Arabidopsis thaliana: one gene and its partner. The protein of the gene in region 1 interacts with the protein of each later gene in a biochemical or structural test. Each region holds a gene or a part of one and is shown in the gene's direction. Other genes may lie near its edges.

Region 1 (8,025 bases):
AATTAAGGGAAGAAAACAAAAGGAAGAGAACAAGCGTGGGGTGGGAGAAAGTGGGCGTGTGGGGGAATTGCAAAACCCTAGAAAATGGAATTAAGCAAAGCATGCCCTTCCATGACAATGACCACTCTCTGTATATTCTCTCCATAAAATTCATTCTTTTTGTTTTATGGACCCATTTTTCCTTTGCAATTAGTTCTCGATGTGCGTTTTGGTGGTACAACTCTATTCATAAACTATACAATTTCGATACGATAACTCAAAACGTTTATTTTCTTACCTTCCGGGTGGTACACTCATAGTTTTCTCATCAGAAATAAAAGCAATTAAAATCCATTGGAATTTGGTTAGAAATGCTCTTGTTTTATATATATATCATCAAAACAAGAGCTATACCAGTGAAACTAAACTATATAACGTTGGGGTTTAAATGTAAGATGACTCGTTAAACAGTTATATATGTTCAGAAAACATAATATATGTTAATAGAAAACATTAGGACGCTCTATGTTTAAGAAAGATGATTTGGTTAAGCTTGATGAGAGATAAGGTAACTACGTAGATAAGTCGTTTAAAAAAAGACATATGGGTTAGACCACAGACCACTACATATACCACATAAATTGGAATTAACTCATCAAGTTTATGTGTGAAGACATAGTTTATGTAAAGTAGGTGAAACATGATTGGGATTGATATATAGCATGACTTAGTCTATGCTAATATTTGGTCTAAGCTTAGGTTATTTAAGCCAAGCTGATTAGACAAGAACCAAGTGGTTATTTTTTTATCAAGTGGAAAATATATAGTAGTATGAGAGCTAATTGAATAAATTAGACATGAATTGATTATGTATTTACCTAGGTAGACGAGATTATTATACTCACTAAGCTTAATAGATCAGAATCCTGTTTAATTATTAAGACGGCTAGTGAGCGAGACCAAAGATTCAATAAAGAAGGACAATGAGGATAGGTAGTCACCGAATATAGCACAATGTTGTAGCCTAAGACCATTGCAAACATTGTATTTAAAAACAATGGTTAATAAGGAATGATTTATCAATAAAGTTCTAAATTTGAGACTTATATAGTGCAAAATTAAATTTAAGTACAACATGAATTTAAACAAAGAATTGGACTCGAAGTGAATCTACATGAATTACTCTATAATACAGTGATTGACATAGGTTATCACATTTTTACGTACATATATTTATATTCGTACAAATTGTTTTGTAGCCAGGATTTGAATTTCTATTTATATAAATTTATACTTAAAAATAACAGAAATACTATAGAGAAGGTCAAATTAACTAGGAAAGATTTAAGTACAAAAAAATGATTAAGTGCGTAGAGTGGGAAAATGCTTTTCAACGTTCACATAAGATGTTTAGTCACAAGAAAAAGTGTTTTGATTTTCTTCAGTCAAAAGAACATTTCGATAGTAAGCCGACAAACATCTCAGAGGCTTTTTGACGACATCAATCCCATCCTCATCTGTCCGTGTTCAAATGTCCGATTACAAAAGTGATTGAGAAAGAAAAGTAACAGTGATATTTCTATGATTACTCGCATTAGTTCTTACCATAACAATTATAATCTGATTAGCTTCCCATAACAACTAATTTATGATGCAAGTGTTTTTAAGCATGCTATTTTTAAGATTTCTTAGCTCTCTAATATAAAATTTTATTAGCGTTTTTAACGTACAAAAAATAAAATACGATGTCGAATATAATTATCCTAAAACAAATTAATAAGCCACAGAATGTTTCTTTTTTCCTAAATTAGGTCTTAATATTAAATTTACTCTAACATGCACTAAGTTGAATACAATTAACCTAAAACAAATTAATAAGCCACAAAGTGTTTTTTTTTTCTTTCTAAAATTTGGTTTTAGTTTTTACTGTTGAAGTAACACTAAGTTGTGATAGAGTAGGAGTACCAGCCGGTGATTCAACTAATTCAATTCGGAAAAGAGAAAATTATATAACAACGTAAACAACATTCTTACTTTGTGTTTTGAGGGTAAACAAATTAGTTTTTGTTCTAGTTCATAATCTAAAGAACGATTTTTGTTTAACAAATGCTTAATTCAATATTATTTTTCTTTATATTTTTACTGAATAATATCTATATTAAATAAATCAGCCATAATTTAAGGTGCCAAAGTGCTCGACACCTTTTTTGTTTCTTTCTATTTTAAAATTTAAACTTTGGTAATATTCCCCTTTTTGTAGCCCATCCTAGCACTTTTTATCCCTTTTCCATCTAGTACAAAGAATAGTGCACACTGCCTTTCTTATGAAACTCTCTAAGATTTTATACATGAAGGAAAAAAAAATTAAAAGTCTAATTTGAAAAAAAAAAAAAAAAGACAAAGAAGACTATTATAATCTTTCTAATCAAAGGTCATCATTGATCCCCCTTTAATTTTTTTCTTTCTTCTGTTTTACAGCTAAGGTTCAAAGCAAATCACAGTCCTTAAGAGCAACACATTCAACACAAGAGCATATATATACATATCAAATAACCTCATGTAATAATAGAGCAAAGCCAAAGAAACAAAAGCAAACATGTCTACTTCTCATCATCATCATCACCCTCCTTATCTCATCACCACATTATTCTTCTTGTTTCTTAACTTCTCCTGCCTCCATGCAAATGAACTCGAGCTTCTCTTATCATTCAAATCCTCAATTCAAGACCCTCTAAAACACCTCTCCTCTTGGTCTTACTCTTCAACCAATGATGTGTGTCTTTGGAGTGGCGTCGTTTGCAACAACATCTCTCGTGTTGTCTCTCTCGATCTCTCCGGCAAGAACATGTCCGGTCAAATCCTCACCGCCGCTACTTTTCGCCTACCTTTTCTTCAAACTATCAACCTCTCAAACAACAACTTGTCCGGTCCAATACCTCACGATATCTTTACCACTTCGTCTCCTTCTCTCCGTTACCTCAACTTAAGCAACAACAACTTTTCCGGCTCCATCCCTCGAGGCTTTCTTCCGAACCTCTACACGTTAGATCTTTCCAACAACATGTTCACCGGTGAAATCTACAACGACATCGGGGTTTTCTCTAACCTTAGAGTCCTTGATCTCGGTGGAAATGTCTTAACCGGCCATGTACCGGGCTATCTTGGAAACCTCTCAAGATTAGAGTTCTTAACATTGGCTTCAAACCAGTTAACCGGAGGTGTACCGGTGGAATTAGGGAAGATGAAAAACTTGAAATGGATATACTTGGGATACAACAATCTCTCAGGAGAAATCCCTTACCAAATCGGTGGGTTATCCTCTCTTAACCACCTTGATCTCGTCTACAACAATCTCTCTGGACCGATACCTCCTTCACTAGGTGACTTGAAGAAGCTTGAGTATATGTTTCTCTATCAAAACAAGCTCTCCGGTCAGATCCCACCGTCCATCTTCTCCCTCCAAAACCTAATTTCTCTCGACTTTAGCGATAACTCGCTCTCGGGAGAGATCCCTGAGCTCGTGGCTCAGATGCAAAGCTTGGAGATTCTCCATCTCTTCTCTAATAACTTAACAGGAAAAATTCCAGAAGGAGTAACTTCTTTGCCACGTCTAAAAGTTCTTCAGCTTTGGTCAAACAGATTTTCCGGTGGAATTCCGGCAAATCTTGGGAAACATAACAATCTCACTGTTCTTGATCTTTCTACCAACAATCTCACCGGAAAACTCCCTGACACTCTTTGTGATTCTGGCCATCTCACTAAGCTCATCCTCTTCTCTAACTCTCTAGACAGCCAAATCCCACCGAGTTTGGGCATGTGTCAGAGCTTAGAACGCGTGAGGCTTCAAAACAATGGCTTTTCAGGCAAGTTACCTCGAGGTTTCACCAAGTTGCAACTCGTTAACTTTTTGGACTTATCCAACAACAACCTCCAAGGTAACATCAACACATGGGACATGCCACAACTTGAGATGTTAGACCTCAGTGTGAACAAATTCTTCGGTGAATTACCGGATTTTTCTAGAAGCAAAAGACTCAAGAAGCTCGATTTATCACGGAACAAAATCTCTGGAGTGGTTCCACAAGGGCTCATGACGTTTCCGGAAATAATGGATTTGGATTTAAGTGAGAACGAAATCACTGGAGTGATCCCAAGGGAGTTGTCTTCTTGCAAAAATCTAGTGAATCTTGACTTGAGCCACAACAATTTTACCGGAGAGATCCCTTCGAGTTTCGCAGAATTCCAAGTTCTCAGCGATCTTGATTTGTCATGCAACCAATTATCAGGCGAGATTCCGAAGAATCTAGGAAACATTGAGTCTCTTGTTCAAGTCAACATCTCTCATAATCTTCTTCACGGAAGCTTACCTTTCACCGGAGCTTTTCTTGCCATAAACGCAACAGCAGTTGAGGGTAACATCGATCTTTGTAGCGAAAATTCCGCTAGCGGTTTACGTCCTTGCAAGGTTGTAAGAAAGAGAAGTACGAAGAGTTGGTGGTTAATCATCACTTCAACCTTTGCAGCTTTCTTGGCTGTCCTAGTCTCTGGTTTCTTTATCGTTCTCGTCTTTCAAAGAACGCATAACGTTTTGGAGGTCAAGAAAGTGGAACAAGAAGATGGTACAAAGTGGGAAACTCAATTCTTCGATTCAAAATTCATGAAATCGTTTACGGTGAACACAATTCTATCGTCTCTTAAGGACCAAAACGTTCTTGTGGATAAAAACGGCGTGCATTTCGTTGTTAAGGAGGTCAAGAAGTATGATTCTCTTCCCGAGATGATATCCGATATGAGGAAACTTTCTGACCACAAAAACATTCTTAAGATAGTTGCTACGTGCCGGTCGGAGACTGTGGCGTACTTGATACATGAGGACGTCGAAGGGAAACGGCTGAGCCAGGTTTTAAGTGGTTTGAGTTGGGAGAGACGGAGGAAGATTATGAAGGGAATCGTCGAAGCTCTTCGGTTTTTACATTGCCGGTGTTCTCCAGCTGTTGTTGCCGGTAATTTATCGCCGGAGAATATTGTCATCGACGTCACCGATGAACCAAGGCTTTGTCTCGGTCTTCCGGGCTTACTTTGCATGGATGCTGCTTACATGGCCCCAGGTATAATTTACATCTCTGTGTCAAAACAAAAAGACCAAATTCAATTATTCAACTTAGAATAATGGCTTTCCATGCAAATATTACAACCCATGTTAAAAACAAATCGGTTTTCACGTTTTGGAAAATATACTCTAAAATCGATCCAAAAATTAATTCAGTTTGATCTTGATTTTTTTTTTCCTGCTTCCATTGAGATTTGGATAAATAATTTGTATAAAAATATTAAGAAGTTATGTAATATTATAGATTTTCAGTATAACTCAATGTACCTTTTCTATATACATTGCTAAAAGATCAAATTTTCAATACAATTTTGGTTGATTCAGTTTAATTGCACAAAATTCGGATCCGGCTTCTAATTGATGATCTTAACTTTGGTTCCCGTTTGCGTGTCCACCACTAATTAATCTAGAAAAAATGGATGTCTTAAAATGTTTTTGTTTTCATGTTACATGTTAAATGGATTTTATTTGTGTTTCTATTTTCCTCTAATGCTAGTTCTTCGTTTTGTAACGTAGAAACGAGAGAGCACAAGGAGATGACAAGTAAAAGTGACATCTATGGTTTTGGAATCCTCCTCCTTCATCTCCTCACCGGTAAATGTTCCTCCAGTAATGAGGACATCGAATCTGGAGTTAACGGAAGTTTGGTCAAGTGGGCTAGATATTCGTATTCGAATTGCCATATCGACACGTGGATCGACTCATCCATTGACACATCAGTGCATCAGCGCGAGATTGTCCATGTTATGAACTTGGCTTTGAAATGTACGGCCATTGATCCGCAAGAGAGGCCATGCACCAATAACGTGTTACAAGCATTAGAGTCTACCTCATCGTCAAGTTCTTCTTGCACTACTTATTTGTCAAAGATACTATCGTTGGCCTGACAATTCTGGCTTCGTTTGACCCCATTATATATATGTAATTTTATTTGGGTTCTTATTTTTGTTTTAAAATCTCATTTTCTTTGTCTTTTTTTGTTAGGTTTAATAACCCAAATTAATATATTGTCTATCAAGATGGTTTTGTTTATGCTTGATTGTTTACTGATGAATGTATATATAATATATAATGTGAAGAATGGTTTGAACATCTTCTATGCATGTTTTTCTTCCGTGGACCGGGTTGACGAATTTGTTCTAAAATGTGACTAGACTAGCAATGATTATGCAATGTAGCGTCTATATTCATTTCACAAGTGACATGTAGCGATGAAGTGTCTGTTAGTTACTTCACTTCAAATTGATCGGGATGGTACAAGTAACAAGTTCACTACATAGGCCGGTACTGGTCCGATTCTGGCTTCGAGAAAAGGCAACCTGGTTTGTCTCGGTTCGGGTCTAAGCCATTTTTGTTTCCATAATCCTTTAATCCATTATGGTAGACCAACCCGTTAAAGAATAAGTAATAAGTTGGCACTACTGTCCTCTTCATCTTTATGAATCAACTAAGAAATAATGATAAAATAATTACAAGAGATAACTAAATGGGAGGATCGAGTAGATAACTTTAATAAAATTGTACTTAATAACATGAAATTTCGACAATGTGGTCAAAAGATATTGAGGAACAAAACGAATAGCCAATAAGAAAAGGACTCAACACTTGCACCCACTTTGGTTTTTAAGTTTGTCATCATTGTTCCTTGTATTCTCTTCTTATTATCTACTTTCCACAATTTATTTTATGTTTTGTATGTGCATGTTTGTCTATATATAAATTCTTTTTTCTTGCAATATAATGATAGAAATGAGAAGATCGAAAACCTTTTCTTTTCTCTTTTGCATCATAGGAGAGATTTTGTTCATATGCTTTCTGCAAACTTTTAGAGGTATCCATTTGTAATTATGTTTCTATATATTAGAAATTAATATTGACTGGCCAATATACTTTTTATTTATCAAAATAATAACTACTAGTTGAAAACAAACTACTATTCCTTCACTACAAAATAATGTCGCTTACAGATAATTAATTTCAGATAAAAGTTTTTTTTTATATAAATGAACGTCAATAAGACACAAAGATACTACTGATGGCTTATTCGTGTCTTCTTCTGTCAAAGCGCACTCCTTCCATTGATTTTATTTTCCCTTTTAGACCTTCTTTCATAATATATTGTTTGTTTTGTAGATTTCAGTCACCTGTATCTCTTCGTTGTATTCTGTATTCTGTAAAAACAAATCTCAAAAATGAGATACAATTTAACATTTTACCCCCAAAAAATGTTCCGAGAAAACATATTATGATATATATTGTTGGCAAAAAGTATCGATAACGCATCGGAAACACCCTTATTCCACGAATCGACAACAGAAATCAGCCTTTGGCATAAAGTTTATATTCCATGCTAGTTGTGTTTCATTTGCTTTTTGTTCTGTCAAAAATGTTGATTTGCTTTGAGATTAAACAATTATGTAAAACTATGGATAAATGTAGAAAGGGACGTAACAGCTAAGTGAGCATGTTCTAATGTCAAAAGTCTCGAAGATACCAAAATAATACTCGTTCTTGGAGACCATGCAAAAAGCCCTTTGGACCTTACTTCCTTTCCGGTCAAAAATGTTCCTTTTGTTTCCTTTTTCCTCTATAGCTTGGTCCAGTTTTTTTTTTTTTTTTTTTTTTTTTTTGTCAAAGTTAGCTTGGTCCAGTTTTGATTTCAAAATTGCATATCAATCATGTGTTTTTTTCACATCCTTTATTCGGCAAATGGATGTGTATATTTCCTTACTTTTTAATTTGGTAACTAACACAGCTGAAGAAATAAACAATCGAAGCTACATCGAATAAGTTATTTGTATACTTCAAAAATAATAATAACAAAAGATATAAATGAATTATATAGTACGTATAGGAATGTATTAGAAAAAAAAACCATAAAACAAAAAAAATGAAACTCACTATACAAATCTCGGAGGCTCCCTCCTGCAAGTGGA
Region 2 (5,043 bases), on another chromosome or scaffold:
AAACATAGTTTTGGGTGTAAACTTAACGTCATACATCACTTGCACTTGATTGATGTGTAACGAGACTGTCTGATATGATGATATGCACATGATACTGTTACCACCTTTTCGCATCTTATGTCGAGCTTGATTTATTCGAATGTAGCCAAACAAGATATGTTAAAAGAGTACAATATGGGCCGAGTAAACTAATTTAGTAATTTCACAAAAAGAAAAGTATCACTTATATTTCGCACTAAGTCAGTTAGATTATGCTTAATGCCCATTTACTCAAAACTCGAAAGTGCCAAAAACATGGGCCGAGGAAGAAAAATAATCATATTCAAGCCCATCAATATACAGGCCCGTTTTTCCCAGAATGTCAAAATGGGTTGATTAATCAAGAATGCACAATTGTAATTCTCATAAATAGAAAACAGAATCTGACACCAACTACAGTATTTCATAAGTTGGACATCAATATGCTAGAAACAAGGAATTGTGAATCTTGTGATGGCAAGAGAACCCACACACCAATTTCTATTTTCTCCAACTAGGTCCATTTTAGTCCGCATGAGGCTAAAGCCTAAACCCCCACCGACGCAGACCATGGACACATCTGCCTATTCATTTTAGAGTGGTCAACCACAAGCCGGTCCAAAGCCTAAACCTTCAAATCAGGACAAAATTGGACCCCTAAACCAAAATTGGGTCAAAACAACTCAGTCCATTGCAACATCCCTAATTCATTTGCTATTGTCATCGCTCATCACTCATCAGCCAGTTGTTTTAATGATTGTGTATTGGACCTTTATCCACCGAGGGAATATCACCATCAGCTATAATCCAATAATAACCTCAAGTTTGCTTTGTTTTACTTTGCTTTAAACTTCTTTTGGATCCCTCCGACCACATCAAAGATCTGATTGGTCACATCAAAAAAACCCTCATGGGAATAAGATTATTATTAATTTAAATTCAAAAACCAAAACAATCTCCATCAACAACATTCAAGATTTCACTATCTTACAATATTTCAAAAAAAATGTATGTTTTGGGTTTTTTTAAGTAAAGGAAAAGTTGCAAACTTTAGGACTAACCTCGAGAATGCTGAAAAAGCAAAGGGAGGGGAACTCAAAATCAGCAAATGGGTATTTTTGTTTTTTGGACCAACGACTGGTCTCCTGCTTGCTTTGTTTTTGAGCCTGCAAACAATATCCAATCCTCAGTTTTAAAATATGTTACTTTGAGAACAGAACCTGATGCTTCAGAATGTTCTTAGTTTGCATGTGATTAAAAATATTTGTTATAAAGAAATTTAAATGACAACAGTAAAGAAAAGTGTAGTCAGATAAAGAAAAAGATCTTCCCTCATGAATAAATCAGATAAGGATAAAGAACAAATCATAATTAAGGGAGCAATATATCAAACAGAAGTGGTTCTTTTTGAATCATTGCATTGAGGATTAAGATCTGTTGATGAATCAACAAGGTGGGAAAAAGTACTAAGAGTAATTAGCATAACCAAACACAAACAAAGTACTAATTTCTTGAACTTTGGCAAGCAAATATTGAATCCCTCATGCTAGAATCTAATGGTAATTTCTACACTAGAGACAATAGATTTTATCTTAGACTACTATTACATAGTATTGCAGGCAAAAGTGACTATGTGGAGTTATGGTATGTGTTTTTTCGATATTGGTGTGATATTTGTGAGAAGATGTAAAGATGAAGTAGCACAAATAAACATGCAGCCGATGTTGTTGCTTAAAAAAGTGAGCTAGGGATCCTAAAGTGAAGGGGAGGAAGATCTTAGAATAATATAAAGAATCATTCTTAAAGAGGAAAAAAATAATGTATTTGTTTCTTTTCGAAGAGGGTTACTCTGTTGTACCTCTTTTTTGCCAAAGTTTAATGCTTTATATGAGTAGCTCCTGTAGGCTGTGTAGTAATGGAATAGTACCAACGGTTTGCATGGCCCACGGCTCCGGTCCTCTGTGTTCCTGCCGTTTTAACAAAACATCAAACAAAACCACTTTCCTTAACAACAAAGGAATTATACATAGCCAGAATCCACAACATTAAAGAGTGTAAACTTGAATGATTAAGATATAACCCATTGTTGTCAAAAAGTTAAAGGTATTGTATACTTCAAAGTACAATTTTGAAATCAAGGAAAAAGCTTTCGATACAATGAATATGCAATGCCATTGAACCGTAACTCAACTTTTCATGCTGTTTTTTTCGTAGTTTCGCTTAAACTATTCGTCAATATAATTAGAAACGAATACAACATATAATGGAACTATGGCAGCATAGGTAATTGGGTTATAACCAAAGCAGCTTATAGATGGTGTATACAAAGAATCTCACTAAACATGTTCACTGGTAAAAGTGTTCAAGAAAGTGTAAGTGTGTCAGTTTAACAGTCGCCTTCAACGACGTGGCTAGTTAGGAAGGTCTCCAGAAACCCAAATTAGGCTAATTTCCAGTCAAGATTGGAATGAGATGGATATGGTTAGACAAAAGCAAAGGATAAATGTAGAGATGTAGGGAAACCAATGAAGAAAGATACTTAACTTCCCAGCGGTTTTCGTGAACTGAACTCTTTTGTACAATCATTGTCAGATTCTTTCATAACAGCCTTAATCTACTTAGATTTCCAAAGCAATGTTTTTTAAGTGAATCTAAATTCCCCAGGGTCACAGGGACCCACTGTGCTTTTACACTTTAAAGCTTCCTCCAAATCCCAATAACTGATATATAACATGACTATATCTACAGGAAGGAACACACACAAAATCAGAACTCAGAAGGGCTATAATCTCATAACTCCTAACCTTCTCATTTCTTTGAAGAAAAGAAAGATACTCTGAATCTTCTTGTCTGCCTAAGAGCAGAAATGTTGGGTTCCAGTACAAGATCAATGTTTTTTCTTCTCGTCTGCATAGGATTACTAGCAGACAACAGATATAATGTCTCAGCCATGAGACATAGAGAGTTTTTCCTCAAAGAAACACAAGCAGAAAAAGCAGGAGTTCAGACAGAGGAAATTTCTAAGCTCAGGAGCATCGGTGTTCAATTCAAACACACCCTTGAAGATCAAGAAATGCTCAATAAAAACCGACGCGTTCTCGAGGAAGTTAACAAAGATAAAATCAAAGCTGAGGAGACACAAGAACGAAAGAATAAGACAGAAGACTCATTCAAATCAAGCAAGAGACGTGTAAGACGAGGATCAGATCCTATCCACAACAAAGCTCAGCCATTTTCTTAAACGGCGCAAGAGAAATCAAATACAGAAAAAGGCAATATACTATAGAAACGCAAGAAGAAGAAAAGGGCATAACAATCAACCTTATCAAAGCTGGAGGTAGGTTAGTTGGTTATTCTCAGGGTTTATTTTTCAAGTATAGGTTTTGATAAGAACACACAATATGGTGAAGCCATCAGATTATGCAGAACAGCATTATCTGTTCAGATACACCAAGAGAATACATATTTGTTTTCAAGATATTTCTTTGACCAAGTCCCCACTCTATTGTTTGCATTAGTTCGTATAAGTTTTGTTCTTTCTGCAATGCTTTTGACTCCCACCAAAACATGTCCTATGTATATAACATATCTCAAAAGTTTTGATTTTGCTACAACTTCACTATGCAACCTCTATTTTCACACAAATCACATTTGCACTTGAAAGGTAAACAATTCTGTCTTTCTAACAAATATCAAACTTATCATTTGAGTGAAAATGAAAATCTAAGAAATTGGAATTCTAAGGATTCTTCATGAACGTAGCCTTAAGATCAACCTTCAAGAAATTTACAATCACATGAAGATTTTAGTGGAACTAATACCTACATTGTGATGCGATCCAACTAATAATCGGTAGATCAACCTCTCAAAATCGAAGTATTACTTAGGCGCCATGAAAACCAGCGGAATACGAGGACTTACAGTTATTCTCCGAATACATCTTCCGGCGAGTTTAACTCCGCCGCCGGATCAGCAGTTTCCTCATACGGTGGGGAGGAGAATCATTGGCACCTAGCCGCAAGGAACGGCTCGCTACGACGGTTCAGTCGCCGAGGGCCTAACGGTGCTACCAGAGAGCTTAGTTTAGTTGTTAGGCCCAGTTCATAAAAATAACTCTCTTTGGGCCTAGGCCTTTAGATATTTTTTTATCCTGCCCAGCCTTGATGTGTTTGATTTGTGCTCGATGATTAAAGTTAAATCCATCTTTTAACTTTAAGAAAAAATTTGCATAAATTAATAGATTTATCGTTGTCCATCAATAAAATGGATTTATAATTTTACTATACAATTTTAATGATGGAAATATAAAAATAGTTTTTAAAAAAAATATGTATCTTGTTTGAATCTAATGTTAAATTGTATTCAAAAACAAAACAAAAAAACATTGATACATATGAATGTAAATTTTTCTTAAAATAAATTATTAAGAGATTCTATGATCTATCTTCACCTCTTCTTCTTAGTACGCTCAAACGGATTTCATGTTCTTGTCAATCAATTTAACGATTTTCTTCGTGGTCGAAGATTGGTCTCGTGCCTCCTCTCATTTCTTTATCACTAAATAAAGAGTATCGTGTTTTGAAACAGTACTTGGGAATAAATTTTGTTGTGGAATCAAGATCTTTACTCGCAAGCTCTCTCGTGATATCCTTCTATTTTGTCTGAGTTATCAGCTCTTCCCACACCTTTCTCGAATACTGGCATTGAAAAAACAAATGCTCTCTCGTCTCCAACGGATTTTTACAAAATACGCAATTTGTATCCGCATTTTGGTTCCATTTAATCATTCTTTATTATGTTGCAACTTTGCTTTTCACAACCAGTCAAGTGACAACATCATACTTTGGAGTAGCTTTGGAAAAACTAACTTCTTTGTATCCTTGCATCTCCGGTTTAGCTATGCATATTTGTGACCACGTCTCTTTAGAGACAAATTGCTTACGGTAGTTATCGTTTTTTATCTAGTCTTTGTTTCTGTTTATTTTTCTAGTAGTGAATTTTAGCATTTGTTATTTATCTAATTAA

The links.
Region 2: the proteins of AT2G25790 (region 1) and CLE45 interact in a test that uses a peptide from one of them, tested with the Arabidopsis thaliana proteins (one study listed by BioGRID).

Annotation. Positions count from the first base shown.
Region 1 is NC_003071.7:10,998,056-11,006,080, forward strand, and holds AT2G25790 (Leucine-rich receptor-like protein kinase family protein), read left to right. Parts: upstream 1-2,430; 5' UTR 2,431-2,575; coding exon 2,576-5,087; intron 5,088-5,605; coding exon 5,606-5,976; 3' UTR 5,977-6,217; downstream 6,218-8,025. UniProt on the Arabidopsis thaliana protein: Receptor with a serine/threonine-protein kinase activity.
Region 2 is NC_003070.9:26,175,266-26,180,308, forward strand, and holds CLE45 (CLAVATA3/ESR-RELATED 45), read left to right. Parts: upstream 1-2,776; 5' UTR 2,777-2,884; coding exon 2,885-3,259; 3' UTR 3,260-3,660; downstream 3,661-5,043.